Linked DNA regions of Drosophila melanogaster. The protein of the gene in region 4 interacts with the protein of the main gene of each other region in a pairwise test. Each region holds a gene or a part of one and is shown on either strand. Other genes may lie near its edges. The genes, in order: Xrcc2, Vdup1, Nup62 and Pif1A.

The links.
Region 1: the proteins of Pif1A (region 4) and Xrcc2 interact in a two-hybrid assay, tested with the Drosophila melanogaster proteins (one large-scale study listed by BioGRID).
Region 2: the proteins of Pif1A (region 4) and Vdup1 interact in a two-hybrid assay, tested with the Drosophila melanogaster proteins (one large-scale study listed by BioGRID).
Region 3: the proteins of Pif1A (region 4) and Nup62 interact in a two-hybrid assay, tested with the Drosophila melanogaster proteins (one large-scale study listed by BioGRID).

What each region holds. Positions count from the first base shown.
Region 1 is NC_004354.4:18,498,506-18,501,761, forward strand, and holds Xrcc2 (X-ray repair cross complementing 2), read left to right. Parts: upstream 1-1,621; 5' UTR 1,622-1,676; coding exon 1,677-2,429; 3' UTR 2,430-2,753; downstream 2,754-3,256. Other genes in the region: Pgant7 (polypeptide N-Acetylgalactosaminyltransferase 7), read right to left, coding at 727-931.
Region 2 is NT_037436.4:175,886-180,741, reverse strand, and holds Vdup1 (vitamin D[[3]] up-regulated protein 1), read left to right. Parts: upstream 1-1,778; 5' UTR 1,779-1,909; intron 1,910-2,106; exon of another isoform or gene 2,107-2,245; intron 2,246-2,436; exon of another isoform or gene 2,437-2,868; 5' UTR 2,869-2,904; coding exon 2,905-3,360; intron 3,361-3,413; coding exon 3,414-3,596; intron 3,597-3,662; coding exon 3,663-4,052; 3' UTR 4,053-4,240; downstream 4,241-4,856. Other genes in the region: CG7049 (uncharacterized protein), read left to right, coding at 4,539-4,856.
Region 3 is NT_033778.4:16,342,508-16,346,444, forward strand, and holds Nup62 (nucleoporin 62kD), read left to right. Parts: upstream 1-1,869; 5' UTR 1,870-2,073; coding exon 2,074-3,258; 3' UTR 3,259-3,321; downstream 3,322-3,937. Other genes in the region: CG7997 (uncharacterized protein), read right to left, coding at 1-147, 216-263, 499-528, 588-679; wcd (wicked), read right to left, coding at 3,368-3,937. UniProt on the Drosophila melanogaster protein: Essential component of the nuclear pore complex. The N-terminal is probably involved in nucleocytoplasmic transport.
Region 4 is NT_033777.3:8,798,066-8,803,128, forward strand, and holds the start of Pif1A (PFTAIRE-interacting factor 1A), read right to left. Parts: upstream 3,112-5,063; 5' UTR 2,810-3,111; intron 2,715-2,809; 5' UTR 2,629-2,714; intron 1,880-2,628; exon of another isoform or gene 1,397-1,879; intron 1-1,396. Other genes in the region: CCT7 (chaperonin containing TCP1 subunit 7), read left to right, coding at 3,613-3,615, 3,794-4,054, 4,121-4,940, 5,014-5,063.

The DNA.
Region 1 (3,256 bases), on a different chromosome or scaffold from region 4:
GCCACTCACTGTATGCGCTTGCAGGAGGTGTGGGTTATAATTTCAGACTTATGCATAAAGGCGGGGTATTACAGACCAATAATATGCCATCATCTAACCATCTTATGGTCATATGGAATATTCTACGACTAGAATTAGCATTTGATACAAAAGACTAAAGACACACTAGTTTTGGTGGCTGTGCAGTAAAAATGACTTTTATGAGGTTATTTTCTCACTCTATCCGAATTTGATAGTTGGTTGGTTAGGGCCATTACAAAGCCGGTTTTGGAGAATGTATAATAGAATGCGATAAATATTTGAAATGGGCTCGTAAGTTAGACTGGGAATAGACTGTACGATATGGGTTGGAAAAGGTTATCCTTTAACCTCCAACCATACTTTACTCACGCTAAACGTGGTAATAAAGACTTCTTTGAATACTATGTAGCATACATGGCAAGTAATTAATTGGTTAAAACGAGCAAAAGCCGGTTTTAAGTGATATAAAGCAAAGATTACTGAATTCTTTAGCTGGGTTTGCAGTAAGCAAACAACTCGGTCTTTTCAACAATGATATGGTAACTACTCTGTATCCTTAGTTCTGATGATAGTCCTCCATAATAAAATTGTATAATACGTGAGTGAGGAATCTTAATGGCAAGGCTCACGTTATGGGTGACACAATCCTATTCTTTATCCTGGTCAAGGGCTGATATTGCTATCCTCGATCCTGTAGCCACTTACCATCGACCAGCTTGGGCACCTCCCTGGGCCTGCCCTCCAATCGCTGGTGGGCGAACTTGGGTCCGCCGAAGCGCGTGTGATACGCCTCCTGGACGCGCTTGTGGTGATCGCTCCAGTTGGCCAGCAGATACAGCAGCGGCAGCAGTACCAGCAGGCACAATGCCAGCCGGCAGATCCGACCGCTGCGGATGGTGCTCACGCGCATCTCTCCCTAATTCCGATTCCGATGCCCAGTTCCAGATTCCAGTTACAAAGTTCCAAATCTGTTGACGTGTCTAGGTGGCCAGAAAGAAAAAGCACGGCGCGGGAGACGGGAAGCGGTAAGCGGGGAGCGCGGAAAGGTGGCCACAAAGCAGAAAGAGAACAAAAGAACCACTTTTGGTTCGGATTCGAGATGCCGCTGAATGATCAAAGGCGCCCCGCCGATAATGACAATTACAAGTGCTGGGGCGAGAAGCTAACTGGAGTACACCAGCTCGTCCGCCTGAGTGATGCTTTAACTCGGTGCGGAGCAACTTGCCGGCGAAAAAGCGCCGCTGGCTTTGAGCAAATTGCGAGTGCAGGTGCACGAATATTCGCGGTGCAAACGTAAACAAAAAATGGTAGAAAACGATGTTCAACTGGTAAGAACGCGTTATGCCGTTTTTTCTATCATCGCCCAGGCGTTAGGGCTAAATTAGGCACCAGCAGCGATAGGCGGCTGGGCGATAACACAGGGTGGTGAAAATGGATTTTTTTTATGTATGTGCGCAAATAAGTCTAAATGCTAACTGAAAGTTATAACGAAACGCTTGCTGCTGTTGTTTAACTATTCGATATGCCCTAGTTCCATTTAGTGTTAAATATGTTTCAGCGCTGCGCAATTCAACTTTAGGTGGCTGTCATCGATAAAGGCCACAATCGATAACTCCTTTGTTTATGCCAGGGCGCAAATTTGTAAATTTAACCTAATGGGCTCACATCAACTCCACTTTGCCGTTTTTGGCTCCTGCGGCTTTGAAGCCGATACGCTGGTGGAGATCTCCGGCCCAGGGAACAGTGGCAAAAGCCTGGTGCTCCAACAGTTGGTGGCCCACTGCCTGGTGCCCTACAAATTCGGTGGTCGCCAGTGGAGCGTCCTGCTGATCAATCTGAGTCACAAGATCAACCGTGAATCTCTGGCCAAGAGCATTAGGATGGAGCTGAAGGCGTACTCTGTCGGCGAAGTGATTGCTGCGAAATGCCCCACGGAGGAGCAGCTGGCCGAGATTGCGGGCGAGTGCATGAGTCGCGTGCGATTCCTCAACTGTTTTGCAAACGATGATGTTTCCACGTCGCTAATCGACGCCCGCTACGCGATCATCAATGATCCTGGCATACAATTGGTTGCCATGGACACACTCAGCGAATTCTACTGGCTAGATGAGCCTAAGATTGCCAAGAGAATGTCCATGTATCGCCACTATCGATTGCTCCAGGCGCGCCTGGAGAAGCTCTGCAAGGATGCCATCGTCTGCGGCATGTACACGGTGGAGTCTGCCTTTCTGGAGAATCGTTTTGGCGAAAACTTGCCCGAGGCTGGCATAAAGTACCATGTCAGGATGCAGAAGATTCAAAACCAGATCCTCTTGAATGGACTGCCGCTGTCGTTTAGCAATGGAATTCATTTGGATACAAATACTAGCAAGGAAATTACTGAGGCATTGCTGACTCAGCCCAGTTAACATAGTTAAATTATTATTATTAATCTTAGGACAAAATGATGCTAGGAACTGAAAGAAGTAAACGATTGTATATAGAGTATATAGAGTTGATTAAATTGTATATAGAGTTGATAGGTTAAGAAAATTGTATATAGTTTAACAATTTAACTTTAATAATATCTTCCTTTTAGGGATTAGAAATTATATTTGTTATTACTCCTTTATTAGACAATTTCAAGGCCTATGAGTGAGAAAGTAATCTGTGCAACTAATTAAGTTAAAAAAAAGGTATAACTTCTACATTATCTAGATAGTTACGAACTCAAATATACTTTAATTTCCGTGATATCTTCCTAGTTTTACCCGCTCGAACAAAGAAAATTATAGTCCATATAGATCTAGAAGGAAAGTTCGCTTTTATGACTTATTCCATTCAGTAATATATTTAATATTATATATCAGTAATATTATCTTAATTAAAAAAAATACAACAGTTCTTTAAAATTGTGTTGAAACCTTCACTATGTTCTTTTTTTGTTTTTGAAGAAGGCCAACCCTACCAGAATTATACTTAAAACTAATGATTTCTAAAAGCTATACATAAGTAAGGTGGTTTTGTTTAGCAGTTTTTTTTTTCGTTTTCGTTTTCCTTTTTTATCGTTTTCTTAGCATTTTAAGAAGAAGCAATATGATGGTGTATGGTAATGGCAATTAAAATGGAGAGGAGGGGGGGGGGGGGGGCTTTTTAATGTTATCCGCCGATTGATTTTGGTAGTGCTTAAAAGCCGGTAAATTAGTAAAAATTATTATTAAATACAATCATTAATTTAAATGTAATTTCAATAAAT
Region 2 (4,856 bases), on a different chromosome or scaffold from region 4:
CTCTATGGAGGCATCACAAAGGAAGGGGTTAGCCAAAAGAGAACCTTAGATATGCTAATACAGATATGGTATAAGAAGCGTGGCGAACAAACCATTTGGTGTAATTTATGCAACCTAACCGCTTGTAAGCAGAGCTGACAATTAGTTAACAGTTCTTCTTTAGAATAAGGTCCTCTCATCGGCTGCGGCCGTCAGAACGTGTCAATTTCGGTCATTAGCTAGTTATGAAAATCTGTGGTAACTTGTGTATGGCGCTTCGATTGGACCAGTGATGAACTAGAATCAGCCTTCTTCATGTAAACACTAAGTTACTCACGGAGCGCTATTATGAGTGTCTTTATTGTTACAATTTTAACTTTCTCGCGTTCCACTGGCCCGACCGAAGACAGTTTAAAGTTTTCGATGCGAACCGTGCCTTACCAGCGCGCTCGGTATCTTCGCCACAACTGAGCCACTGCCCCAAGTCGGACATAGAAGCAGCTCGATTTAAGGGAGAGCGTGCCAGAGAGGTGAAACAAGGCAAGAGCAACGAAAACAGTGGCCAATGCGCCCAGCCAGTTGGGCATGAGAAAGTTTTGCAGGTGTAGCTCTGCTACACCTCTTGTTTTTCTCTTTGAGACTTTACGGTATCGTTGGTAAGTTTATGGAGTGGACCAGCCACTCCCCCTTGGTGATTGATGTTACACCAAGATATTCTCTGCCTTCACGTCTGGCTTTCGCTATTATTATAAGAGATGGAGATAGGCTTACTATAGGTTCCTCAGCGCCGGACTTTCAGAAAAATGATAAACAGAGCTGAGATTCGGAGATCGGTTCGGTGGTGCGCGGAGCAGCTTTGAAACCACACTGACTTTAACTCAAGAATACTTAGTTGTGGGCTCCACGAAACTTCGAGCTCAAGCGATTATCATTTTGAACCAAACTAGTATAGACGTCTCTATTCGAAACAACCTAATTTTCAGATACTCTATACGTCGAGGCCACAAACGGGAAATCTTTGGAGTCTCGTTGAAATCTCTCTTCGCGGTAAAGACTTGGGTCATTATAAAACAACAACTCCCAGCAATTAAGCCGAGAAACATTGAAATGGAAAACTATAGCCTAGCCATTGCTACTAAATGTCACTAATGCCGTTGGAAGAAATATGAAAAGCTGGAAAAGTTAAATACGAAAGTGATTTGTTTTCTCTTATAGCCAGCATAGTCTTCAAAACGATTGATTTCTTCAGTCCATATATAGTTTGACCATCGTTGCATCTCTACTCTTTCTAATATTATCTTATACTTTGTCGATCATAAGGATAACCTACAGATTCCTTTTAATAAAGTTTTCAAGGTATCTGCCACAGGACTCATTTTTTGACTAATTTTCAGGGTATAGCCATAGCTTGCCACAGCTTGCCACAGGCTGCCGAGCCATTCACCGATTCGGTTTTCGCAGCCAGTGATAGTTTGCTTGGCTTTTGGCCTTTCATTTTCATGAGCTACAGTTGAGGTTCTTCGATTTGGGTACCTTAAAACAACAAATAACCGGTATTAAATGCATGCATAATGCATAAATGTGTGCCACTTTATCCATTTTAGTCTGCACACGATTTGTCGACTATGGATAAATACCTGTAAAATATGGGCTTGGTGTTGGAAATACAGATTTATTTTCTAGGTGCAACCGAGTAACACAAGATACACCTGCTGAGCTATAGCGGGGCGACTCTGCGAGCATTGCCATATTATTAGCAAATTGCTCCTATAATCGATTCAGTTTGAACAGCTTAGCTAACCGTTGAGGTGACAATTTGGTTCTCATGCTCGTTTGGTCTTCTGTTGTCTGTGGTGCCGTTCCAGTTTTTTCCGTTTGAATTTATTCAAGAAGATACGCGCTTTGCGTATCCTGTAAGCCCGCTGGAAAGGTAAATTCAGCCATGTATTACATGAATGCAAAAGATAGTAAAAACAAAAGCGGGCTACTTATTGGCATTACGACATCAGCTGGCTCCGGCTGGGCCTCTCTCAAACGATCCCTCGCAAAAACGCGCTCAAAACAAGTTTTTCAGTCGAGCTCTCGTCCGCAAACTGATGCATAACGACGACGACGATGACGACGACGGTGATCAGTTGCCAAACAAACGCTCGAGAGCGTGGACGAGATCTTGCCAAACGAATATCGCTCAAAGGCAGAACGGGTTAAATCGGTTCGGTTTGGACTGGTGTTCCGATCTGGCCAAAAAACACCTTTGTGTGTACAGGTATTTGAAAAGCGATCATTATTTCAAGTGCGCCCACAGGGATGAAGAGAAAACAATTGATCTGTTGTGGATAAAAACAAAAATGTTGAACAATTTGAATGTAATCATTCCAATGGCAGTGTACGGTTGGGAATCCGCTTTCCACTAGGAAATTACGTCAGTTTTCTTTTCGGTTTCTGTTTCCCAATCAGGAATCATCAACATTGTCACCAGTGCACCAAACAGGCTTGCCGACAGTCGCAGTTGCAGCTTACGCTTTTGGTAAAGATGTACATACTGGAGTTTTGCCCAAATTTGTAGGCGCGGGCGTGACACGCCCGACATGCTTCATGCGCCGACCTTGCAGTTGATGCTTAAGTGTTCGGGGCTTTCGTGCTGCATAGTTGTGCACGCAGCCATCTCTTGGCCGTACGAAACTGGTTTTGTTTCCTTTGCCCGCCTAGATGCTACCCACATAAATATGCAAACAAGCGCCGTATGTATGTGAGACCGTAGTCCGTAGTACATGGTCTCAGACCTAGCCAGCTATGACGGATAAGTTGTCATTAACCATAATGACGCGTGCGGAGCGGGTCAAATATTTGGCAACCGTGTTCTAACGAATTTCGTTGGTTTTTCCTTAGGCGTACGAATGAAATCGGCAACAAAACAGAGGCACGATGCCGCGCAAGTTGCTTAAATTCCTTATCATCTTCGACAACACTTCCCTCCTGTACTTCCCGGGCCAGTTTCTCTCCGGACGGGTTCTAATCGAATTGCAGGATGAGACGCCTGCTTTGGGACTTCATTTCCATGTGGTAGGCGAAGGGGTCGTGCGCAACGGGCGGCGACAGGAGCGGACATACGATAAGGAGAACTATATCGACTTTCGGATGCGACTTCTGGGGGACGTAGACCAAGGAGGTCCAGCTATACTCTCGCCAGGAATTCACAGCTTCCCCTTCAAACTCGGCTTGCCACTGGGTCTTCCATCTACATTTCTCGGTCGGTACGGCTGGATTCAGTTCTACTGCAAGGCGGCGCTCCGCGAGAACAATGGCATTATCCATAAGAACCACCAGGTCTTCATTGTGATGAATCCCATCGACCTAAACCTTGAAAAGCCCATCTTAGCAGTAAGTAGCTTTAAAAACCCTGTTTAAAAAAACTAACCTTTCGCCTGACTCAGCAACCGTTCACCTGCGAAGTTGAGCACAAGCTAGGCGTCGTCTGTGTTGGTGGAGGTCAGATAAAGTGCAGAGTGTCCCTTGATCGCGGTGGGTATGTGCCCGGCGAGAATATTCTGGTCACCGCATTTATATCCAACTACAGTAATGTGTCCATTAAACGGACTAAGGCATCCCTCACTGAGGTCGGTATCGCTTTCAAGTGGCTAGTTACAATTCATCCATTTTGATCTTATTTGGATTTTATTTAGACCATCGAGTATTTGGCGCGGGGGAAGGTGGTGCAAACGGAAAAACGGGAGCTGGCTGTTTTAGTTCGTGGCAAGATCCGTCCGGGGGCCAAAGACGAGTGGCACAACGAGCTTTACGTTCCACCCCTGCCGCCGACCAATCTTCATGGCTGCCACCTGATCAAAATATCCTACGACGTCTTCTTCGTGATCGAACCCAAGTCCATGGAGAAGGAGATTAAGCTACAGCTTCCTATCGTGCTTGCGACGTACCCCTTTCGACACTCCGGTGATGCGGTCAATGCCAACACCTGGCCGGAATCGGTGCTTAAGCCGGACACGCACACCCACTATCCGTCCACACTACCCATATTCCGGCCCTGGCTGCACGAGAAGCCTATCGAGGCATAGCCCGCAGCTTTTAGGATTGCTGTGTATCACAACTTGTTAAGACCGATTTGCGCCATACAACAATTTAAACTTATTTAACTTATACTTAACGTTTTTTAATGTTTCTGGTCTTTGCATTTGTAGGTCTTCCGTTCCCAAAAATTTGTTCATGATTGAAGAATTTATAACAAATACAAACGAAAGTTAACATAAAGACCAGACTTTGATAAATTATAATTAGCTCATATACATAACTTTTTATAAAACCTAAATATTGTAGGTTATATATTATTAAAATGGTAAAACTGCACTCATTAACCTTCTAACTACTACTAAATGGTTATAATAATAATAATAATCCCAAAAGTATGGTTGTTGAAATTGAAATAAATTGTTTAAAACGTTACAGCCTAAAGTATGCTATTAAAAAGCTGGCTTGTTCGGAATTTAAATTCGCGAAATTAAGTATTGATTCCAAAACTAAAAAGGGCCACACTGCACGTTAAGATGACAACAATTATATTAGTCCTCTTTATTTGGATAGTTTTATTCAATGACGTATCCAGCGACTGTGGCTGCCAAAAGCTCGACCGGAAGGCCCCGGATATGCCGTCCATTTCCGGACAAGTGTGCCAGCAACGAGCACAGGGTGCACACAGCCACTACCGGGATTACTATGGCGAACTGGAGCCAAATATTGCGGACATGTCACTGCTTCCGGGAGGCACGGTTTACATGGGTACTGACAAACCGCACTTTCCGGCCGACCGCGAGGCTCCGGAACGGCAGGTGAAGCTGAATGACTTCTACATCGACAAGTATGAG
Region 3 (3,937 bases), on a different chromosome or scaffold from region 4:
AAGCGCTTTCTGTCCGGAACCAGCTTCTGGGTATCGTTGTCGCGATTCTTCTCCAGCCAGCAGTCATCTATGATGACGTACTCGTAGCCAGCATCCGCATATCCTTCAGAAACCAGGAGATCCGCATGTCTTTGGAAAAGTTTTTCACTGAAACAGGTGAAATGAACAAGAAGTAAAGGAACATTTGAGGATCTGAGTTGGGTTTGGGTATTAACCTGATGCACTCATCCGGATACAGTTTACAGTCGGTGATGCAACGGAATCTGTAAGTAAGACATGGGTAATCAAAAATTCAGAGAATCTTTAAATAGACTATAGTTATATCAGTAGTGTTAGTTATATCAGCAATGAAATAAACAAAAGCGTTATTGCAGCGTAGCGTGTAGAGTTCATGCCAAGGCCTAATTTTTACTAACTATTAAAGTTTATTTATTTTAAATGTTAGACGTAATGATAATTCTTTATGATCTAATCTAGTTGCTGGTAAATATTTCTTACCGCTCCCAGGACATCCAGCCCATAGGTGGCCTAAAATCGACAGAATTTCAATTAAGTGGCCTAGAATCCAATCAAAATTTAATACTCACTTTAGTGCCAGGCCATTATCGAGGCCCATGGATAATTGCAGAACCTGCAGCAGAAGAATCCCGCCCAGAAAGACGCCCCACGTTCCGTACATGGCGAGCTAGTGGCACCGACTGAATCCTGGCCTTTGGGCACCCAGGGAATTTATATTCTCCAGCGGGCGGCACTCCAGATAACTCTGTTTGGCAGGGGCACCTGAGGAGCTGGAGGTAGGGGAATGGCACCTGAAGAGCTGACAGAAGGTTAGTGGCTAATTGCTATTGCAGCGGAGTACTCCCATCGACTGATTGGTGTTCGCCGGGTGGCGCAAACAGCGGGCTTTCTCGATTGCAGGAGGAGCCGGAGCCCCTTATCACGCCAAGTTCACAGCGATCACAGGGAGCAAATAGAGAAAATCGAGGAGAGACCGAGAACAGGGGCTTTTGATTCTGATATGCTTTTGTTGTTCAATTCTGGCGCTGCTTGCCAGCTACACTGGTCAACAAAGTTGGGGAAATAGTTGGAAGCATAGTAGACTAGAGCACGGTACTAGTGATGGGAAAACATGTACTAACAAAACATAGGAACTATGGTCTTTTATTAGAAAATTTTGATCTGGTTTTTAAGAATAATTTAAAATTTCTGTTTTTGAGGATCAGATCTCAGATCTTATGAAAATCTTAAAAAGAATCTTATTACAAAAAAAAAAAAAACCGAAGGTCAAAGACAAGCTCTAATTGTTGTACCGCATTACGTTTGTACCTTAGGTAATTTTTCTAATTTTGTGGCTGGCAGCTCTGAAGAGAACCTACACAGGTACGCAGAACGAACCTTCTGATAGGAAGCACACATGTGTTTAGCTGATTTAGCAAAATGCAATTACTGAACTGAGTGCCGCTGCACTTTGGGCTTGTAATTGAATTCTTTTGACCCAAATGTTACCTTATCGCCTTTGCACTTACAGATAGCAAAAGATGACTAATTAAAGCCGGTGTTTTGTTATTGATTTTGTTTGTACGATTGACTACGTTTTCTTTCTGAGTTGGTTTTTTTATTTAAGTTGCGCGGAATGATTTGTTCCATGTACGACTAAAACTGGAGCTAAAACATAGCTCTCGACCAGTGTTGTTTGTCGATTTCGCAAGTTAGTTGATCGCTGGTTAAAAAAACGGACACAGACATAAATATATTTTAAAAGTGCAAAAAGTGATTGCAAACGTTAAAATAATATAAATGTTTTGGTTTTCAGCATGTTTTAGTAACAAAAATGTATCGTCGACTGAGCAAAGTACTTCATTTGTATTGCCAATTCAAAGAAATTTAAAATTTAATTTTGCCGCCCAATCTTCAAACTGCTAAGTGTTTTGGCTTGAAAATAGCTAGCTTGAGCTCAAATTTAGTTGATTTCCAACACCGACAACATTGCGGAACTCCAAGGAGGGGTCACACTGGTTGCTTTTGGCGTGTTTCGTTTGATTTAGATTTATATTATTCGTCTTAAGTTTAAGCATGGTATTCCAGTTGCCAACAACAACCGCCGCCCCGACCGGAGGCGCAACATCGTCGTTTTCCTTCGGCCTCAGCACAGGAACACCAGCCGCAGCACCAGCTTCAGGAGCAGCAACCACGGCTCCCGCCACAAAAACCACATTCTCTTTCGGAACACCGGCACCTACTGCTGGTATCGGTGGCGGAGATGCAGACAACAGCAAGGCGCAGGCTCCACCAGCCTTTGGATTTGGCCTGGGATCCGGGACTGCTTCAGCTCCCCTCACGCTGGGCACTCAAGCCGCCGCAAATCCAGCGTCCACCACTTCTGCGACCGCGACTGGAACCTCTGCTGCTCCTCCCGCCTTCGGAGGCTTTACGGCTCAACCAGCGGCATCTGTGGTGCCAACTATAGCAACCAGTGCACCCAACACCGCAGCTACCACAACTGGATTGCTGGGCGGGTCTGGATTGGGAGCTCCCAAGACCACGGCCGCTGCGTCCACAACTCTGACTGCAGCTCCGTCGGCCATAGCCTCCACGCAGGGAGCTGCACCGGCCCCAACTTTAAGTACTGGTGGTGCTTTTGCCAATCTCACTACCGAAACCAAGACCACAGACTCATCGGCCGTTTCCACGGCATCCCAATTGTCCTACCACCAACTTGAGGAGCATATCAACAAGTGGACTCTCGAGTTCGAGGAACAGGAAAAGGTATTCACCGAACAGGCCACTCAGATCAACGCATGGGACAAACTGCTCATCAGCAACAACGGGAAGATCGTCGAGCTCAACGATGCCGTGAAAAAAGTGAAAACCGATCAGCAAGTGCTGGACCAGGAGCTGGAGTTTATAGCCACGCAGCAAAAAGAGCTTGAGGACAGCCTGGGACCGCTTGAGAAGGAATTCGTTAATCTCCCGAGGGTGGACATGGAACGCAGCCAAACCTACCTGATGGTGGAGAATCTGGACACACAACTGAAGCAGATGTCCGAGGATCTAAAGGAGATAATAGACAACTTGAACGAGGCCAACAAGGGCCAGGACACCACTGATCCCATCATACAGATCGGAAAAATCCTTAATGCCCATATGAATTCGTTGCAGTGGATCGAATCGCAGTCGACGAACATCAGCAAGAAGCTGGAAGACATTGGCAAGATTCAAGACTCCCAGAAACGCGATATTTTCCGAGCTCCTTTCTAAAGATAAGTCCCCTTAATTTGTTAACTTAAATAAAGATGGTTCCATTGTAACCACAGAAAGAGTAATGATTTTATTTAAGAATTTATTGTAAACATCATACTGCCTTCAATTAATAACCCTTGAAGTACTTAAGCCTAAAGAGCGGCACCTGTTTGCCCTTAGTGGCAAAGGCCAGGAAGCTGCTGTGCGGCGAAAAGGCCATGGAGGTCACAAAGCCAACCTTCTCGTTCTGTGCCGGGAAATTGGAGTACACAGTGGCGCTGGGGAAATGGGCCAGCTTAAAAGCATTCGGCGCCTCACTGGAGCACATCGCCAGTAGCTCAGATGAGTGATTGAACTGGAGATCCGTGATGGCAGTCCGTAGGTTCATGAAGCGCTTCTCGGGTTGTGGGGCCTTGGATGCGAAAATGCTCTCGTAGTCGTAGATGTTGACCACGCCCTCTTGACTGCCGGTGGCCAGTAGGCGTTGGTTGGGAGACAGTTGAATGGACTCTCCATGTATACAGCCGTCGTCCATGAAGATGTGCTCGATGAGGTTCTGGCGCAGGTTCAGCACGCTGACATTGGAAGTGGAACCGCAGACGAGGATCCTCTTGGAGTCACTAGACCATGTGAATCCCTTCACTTTGCCCTCCTGCTTGAAGCTGTGCAGCAGCTCATTTGTTTTGGCCGTGAGCAG
Region 4 (5,063 bases):
AATAAAGTATACAATAATGTGGCTTTAATAATGCTTTAAGCATATACAATAAAAGCCCTACTCTTATCTACTTATTACAAATTATGCCTTGAAAAATTACACAGTATACAGAATTCCGAGTCTTTGCCCGCATGGAGGTTGTTTCTTCAGAATCGCAAAGATTCCCCTTTGTCTGTCAGCATTTCAATGGCTTCTGTTTAGCCGTAGACTCTTCAACGCTTTTCTTCACTGGGTTGAACTAATCAACAAGTTTCCCCCATTATTGATTTCAGCGGAAAAGCTTTTTCCTTCATTTCGCCACATCGGGTCGGGCCACACATATGAATGAAAAACGAAACATATAGGCACCCTGGGACTGGGAAATAGTTTACAACGCCAATTGCGTTGGGCTTACCAAATAAACTGGTCCGGAATGACTTTTCTTAATGACGTCATGTGGCGCGCCTTTTGGAATAGAACAGAATATGTACGTACATTCATATGTACATGTGTTTTTTTTGTTTTGTGAGGTTCCCCACTGGGGCGCTTTACACGCAATAAAACCGCTTTTCATTACTTTTTTTGTTCTACAGAAACAGAATTCTTTGCACTGCTCCCACATCCGCCCCAAAGATTATAACAAAGCATCTATATATATACTGTATGAGGTGCACACACGAGTAGGCCCACAGTTCATATGTTCATAGAATGCTCTCCGAGATTTCTGGCCGATCATCTTTATCAAGGCCACGATCTATATACACATGTAGAGCGACAGATTTGTGTACTTAGCAACCTTCTGGCGCCTAATTGGAATTTGATTTGTTTTTCCAGCTCGATACACTAGGTGTTAATAGGGAGGGATCTTAAGTGAGTGGTGCCCAAGTTTATTACTTTCTGGTTATCAACATAAATTATAAGTAATTATTAGTAAACTTTATGATATTGACTCTTGGACGTATTTCAAAACCGAACTGTTAGTGGAAAAACTACCCTAAAAGAGGTGTTCGTTCCAAATGTATGTAATATTTATTTTGTGGCTTTTCTATAAACTGAAGGACTGGGGCTAATGATGGCTCTCATGTTGCATTTCATTTAATTAAATTTAAAACCGCCCCCAGTCCACTCGATAATAAAGTGTTTTTGGGGTCGACATACACGCCATGGTGACATCACAGCCTCGGTGTGACCGGCTTGGTTGGGATTGGTTTTATACGAGCAAAGCCACCCACTCGATTGCCATCCACATCCACAGCCATCCACATGGGCAGATGAAAGTCTCTTTTTTGCTCTTTAAGTATGTATATTTTCAGTCATATATCAATTTGAAAATATTGCCAAACGATGAGTCGGTCAGCCGTCGAGTGTACAGTCTGCGGCTCTTTCGGCTGATTCACCGAAGATCACGTATACGCACCATTAGCTCTGAAATCCTTGGGCGTCGTAGACCAACAGTTGGTGTGCCTCAAACTTCTGTATATGTTTATTCACTCACTCACTCACTCACTAAGTCGACCGACGATGTTGTAATGTAAACAGTTTATTTACTGCCTGCTTGCCACTGTTTCTTGCAGTGTAATGACGTCAATACGTTAATTTTCAATCAACTTTTTTCGCGCACAGACCAAGTAGAATATCGTCGGTATGTGGAGCACTTCTTCGACAATTGTTAAGCAAAGTATGATATATTTTTGTTCAAATATATTCACACAGTTCGTACAGGAAGTTCGAAATTATATCAATTAAGTTACACAAGTTCGTCGGAATAGAAGTGAGTTATGTTCGGTTCGTTTGGGGAGTATCCTAATTAGTTGCAATCAATTTGAATTGTAAATTAAAAGAAGTGTTCTATACTAGGTAAATTTCGTTGCTCGGCGATAGCAGAGATCTTTCGTTTCGGCCGGACACCGATTGACTAACTCGGCCTCTCGAGCTTTCGCAAGCTCTTTCACATTTGCCTCCATTTCCATTTAATTAAAAGGAGCTTTGCCATTTATTCATGCACTTCTTGGGGTTATGGGGTGGCAAAGCTCGGGTCTGTGTGCGTGCCCCGAAGAATGGCCGACGTGAAGCCGGAAGAGCCCATCTATTGAAAGCCGAAGATGTTTTCCTCCCGGTTCCCGACTTCATAACAAAAAAAAACCAGTCGCGTGTTTATTAATAACCAAAATATGCACACAACCCGCCACGAAATTGGTCAAAATAACAAACAGTGAAATAAAAGATATCGGAACTTCAGGTTGATTGGATATTAATTCGGTATAAGTTTGATAAAGTAATGATAAAATTCAGTTAAATTGTTATATCTGTGTAAACATTGTTATAAGTACTTCCGCATGATTAAGGCGCGTTGCTCAAACATATATCAGCACAAAGCATTTGTGCTAGTTTAAGTTTAAGAGCAATCTGAAGACGTGACATTAAAGCTGTTGAAACGTGCATCTATTATTATATGTTTAGACCAGAAGTAAATAAATTTGGTAATAAACATACTTGCAAAACATTTAAGTTGCTCAACTTTTTTATAGTCTTTTTATGGCAATTAAAATTTCATACTTTTAATTTCGATTTAAATGCCAAACGTATTGCGTATGAATATCTTTATGTCTATAATCCCCAACAGCTGAAGAATCTTCACAAATCACATACAAATTTGACAATCGCCTTAACGACGCGATGAATGATGGACACAATTAGAACACATTCCGATTCCAGTCAGTCAACACAGGGGAAATCTAAATAAAAGCACAAAAGGGGAACAAACTTTGCACTTTGATTTGAGTGCCTTATCGTGTGGGAGCCCCACTTCACTTTTCTTTTTCTTACTCACTATTTGCATTTTTCATAGTCGGTTCAGCATCCTGATTTGTTTCATAATCACTCGGCAATTGTCTAGTATCCGGTTAGTATCCATTGGCATCCCTTGTGGTTCGATGTCGTCGTTAAGAGGAGTCTTGGGCAACTAAAATTCCAATTCCACATGACCGAATTAGATTTAGAATGCTTTCTTTCATTTAAACCTATTTGCGGTTGAATGTTCTGGCGTTTTGGCCTTTCAAATGACTCTTCTATTTTTCATTTAATTGCTGCTCGGTGCACAACTCACTCAAGTTGAGCGGTAGGAACAAACTGAAGATGCGGCGCACTTTCTAAAATGGAATAAGCGACATGCGTGCGTGCATCGCCAAATTTATATAAATAGAAGGAATCACAAATCTATATTTGAAGTTGGGAGCAATTTCAAAAAACCGCTCGCCGGTCAAGAGTGACGTCATGGAGCCATCGATAACTTTTTCGATAACAACTACCAGCTGCATATCATATTAGTTTAAAATGTTCATCAAAAAGTGTGGAAACTAGCTTTGTACCATAAAGTTAAAAAATCGCAAGATAGAAATAAATAGATAGTTTTTTATGAGTTAGGATTTCAAATTTCATTGTAAAGTGCGACTAAGTCCCCAAACGTTCACACTGGCTGCAAGCATCGATTAAATACAAAATAACAACGATTAATCGATTGGCCCATTACTCATCGCGGAAAACGTGAACGAAAAGCAAGTTGCCGCCTGTCTGCTAGGAACTTTATTGTTTTAAACTGTAATACGTGCTAAAGGCCAACCCCATCACATAAATATGGTAAGTCCGGCTGGAAATAATCCGAGGCTAACCAAGTGAATCCCAATCATGGACTCGTCCGCGAGCGGCATGAGATTGTAAACATAACCTGCAAAGAAGCTTCTCGCAAGCCGACGACATCTGCTGACTAATTGGAGACTTTTACTATATATTCGCCTTATATCCGTATGATCCGCAGCAACCGCAAATCGTGCTCCTCAAAGAAGGCACTGACTCGTCGCAGGGCAAGCCGCAACTGGTGTCCAACATCAATGCCTGCCAGTCGATCGTGGACGCAGTGCGGACCACTCTGGGTCCCCGCGGCATGGACAAGCTGATTGTGGATGCCCACGGCAAGGCGACGATTTCCAACGATGGAGCCACCATCATGAAGCTGCTGGAGATCATCCACCCGGCGGCCAAGACCCTGGTGGACATTGCCAAGTCACAAGACGCCGAGGTAAGTGATTGGCACCCCTGAGACGCACGTGACACTGCTAAAGCTTTGATTCGACTTCTCCTTCAGGTGGGTGACGGCACCACGTCCGTGGTTCTGCTGGCCGGCGAGTTCCTTAAGCAGGTGAAACCCTTCGTGGAGGAGGGAGTGCACCCACGAGTCATCATTAAGGCCATCCGCAAGGCCCTGCAGCTCTGCATGGAAAAGATCAACGAAATGGCCGTCCAAATTGTCGAACAGTCCAAGGACCAGCAGCGTGCTCTCCTTGAGAAGTGCGCAGCCACTGCCATGTCCTCCAAGTTGATTCACCAGCAGAAGGACTTCTTCTCCCGCATTGTAGTCGATGCTGTGCTCTCCCTGGATGAGCTGCTGCCCCTCAACATGATTGGAATTAAGAAGGTGACCGGTGGCTCGCTGGAGGAGTCACAGCTAGTGTCGGGTGTGGCCTTCAAGAAGACCTTTTCCTATGCCGGCTTTGAAATGGCCCCCAAATCCTATGACAACTGCAAAATTGCCCTGCTCAACATCGAATTGGAGCTTAAGGCTGAGCGCGATAACGCCGAGATCCGCGTAGACAACGTCAAGGAGTACCAAAAGGTGGTCGACGCCGAGTGGCAGATCCTCTACAACAAGCTGGCTAAGATCCACGAGTCCGGCGCCAATGTTGTCCTCTCCAAGCTGCCCATCGGTGATGTGGCCACACAGTATTTCGCCGACCGCGACATATTCTGCGCCGGCCGCGTTCCCGAAGAAGATCTTAAGCGCACCATGAAGGCTTGCGGTGGAGCCGTAATGACGACGGCCAACGACATTAAGCCCAATGTACTCGGCCTGTGCGAACATTTCGAGGAGCGCCAAGTGGGCGGCGAACGTTTCAACCTCTTCCAAGGTAAGAATCTTATTCGTATACTTAATTGAAGGACTCGTTTTAACAACCACTTGTTATTTTCCATTTTAAATAGGCTGCCCCAATGCCAAGACGAGCACCCTTATTCTGCGTGGCGGTGCCGAA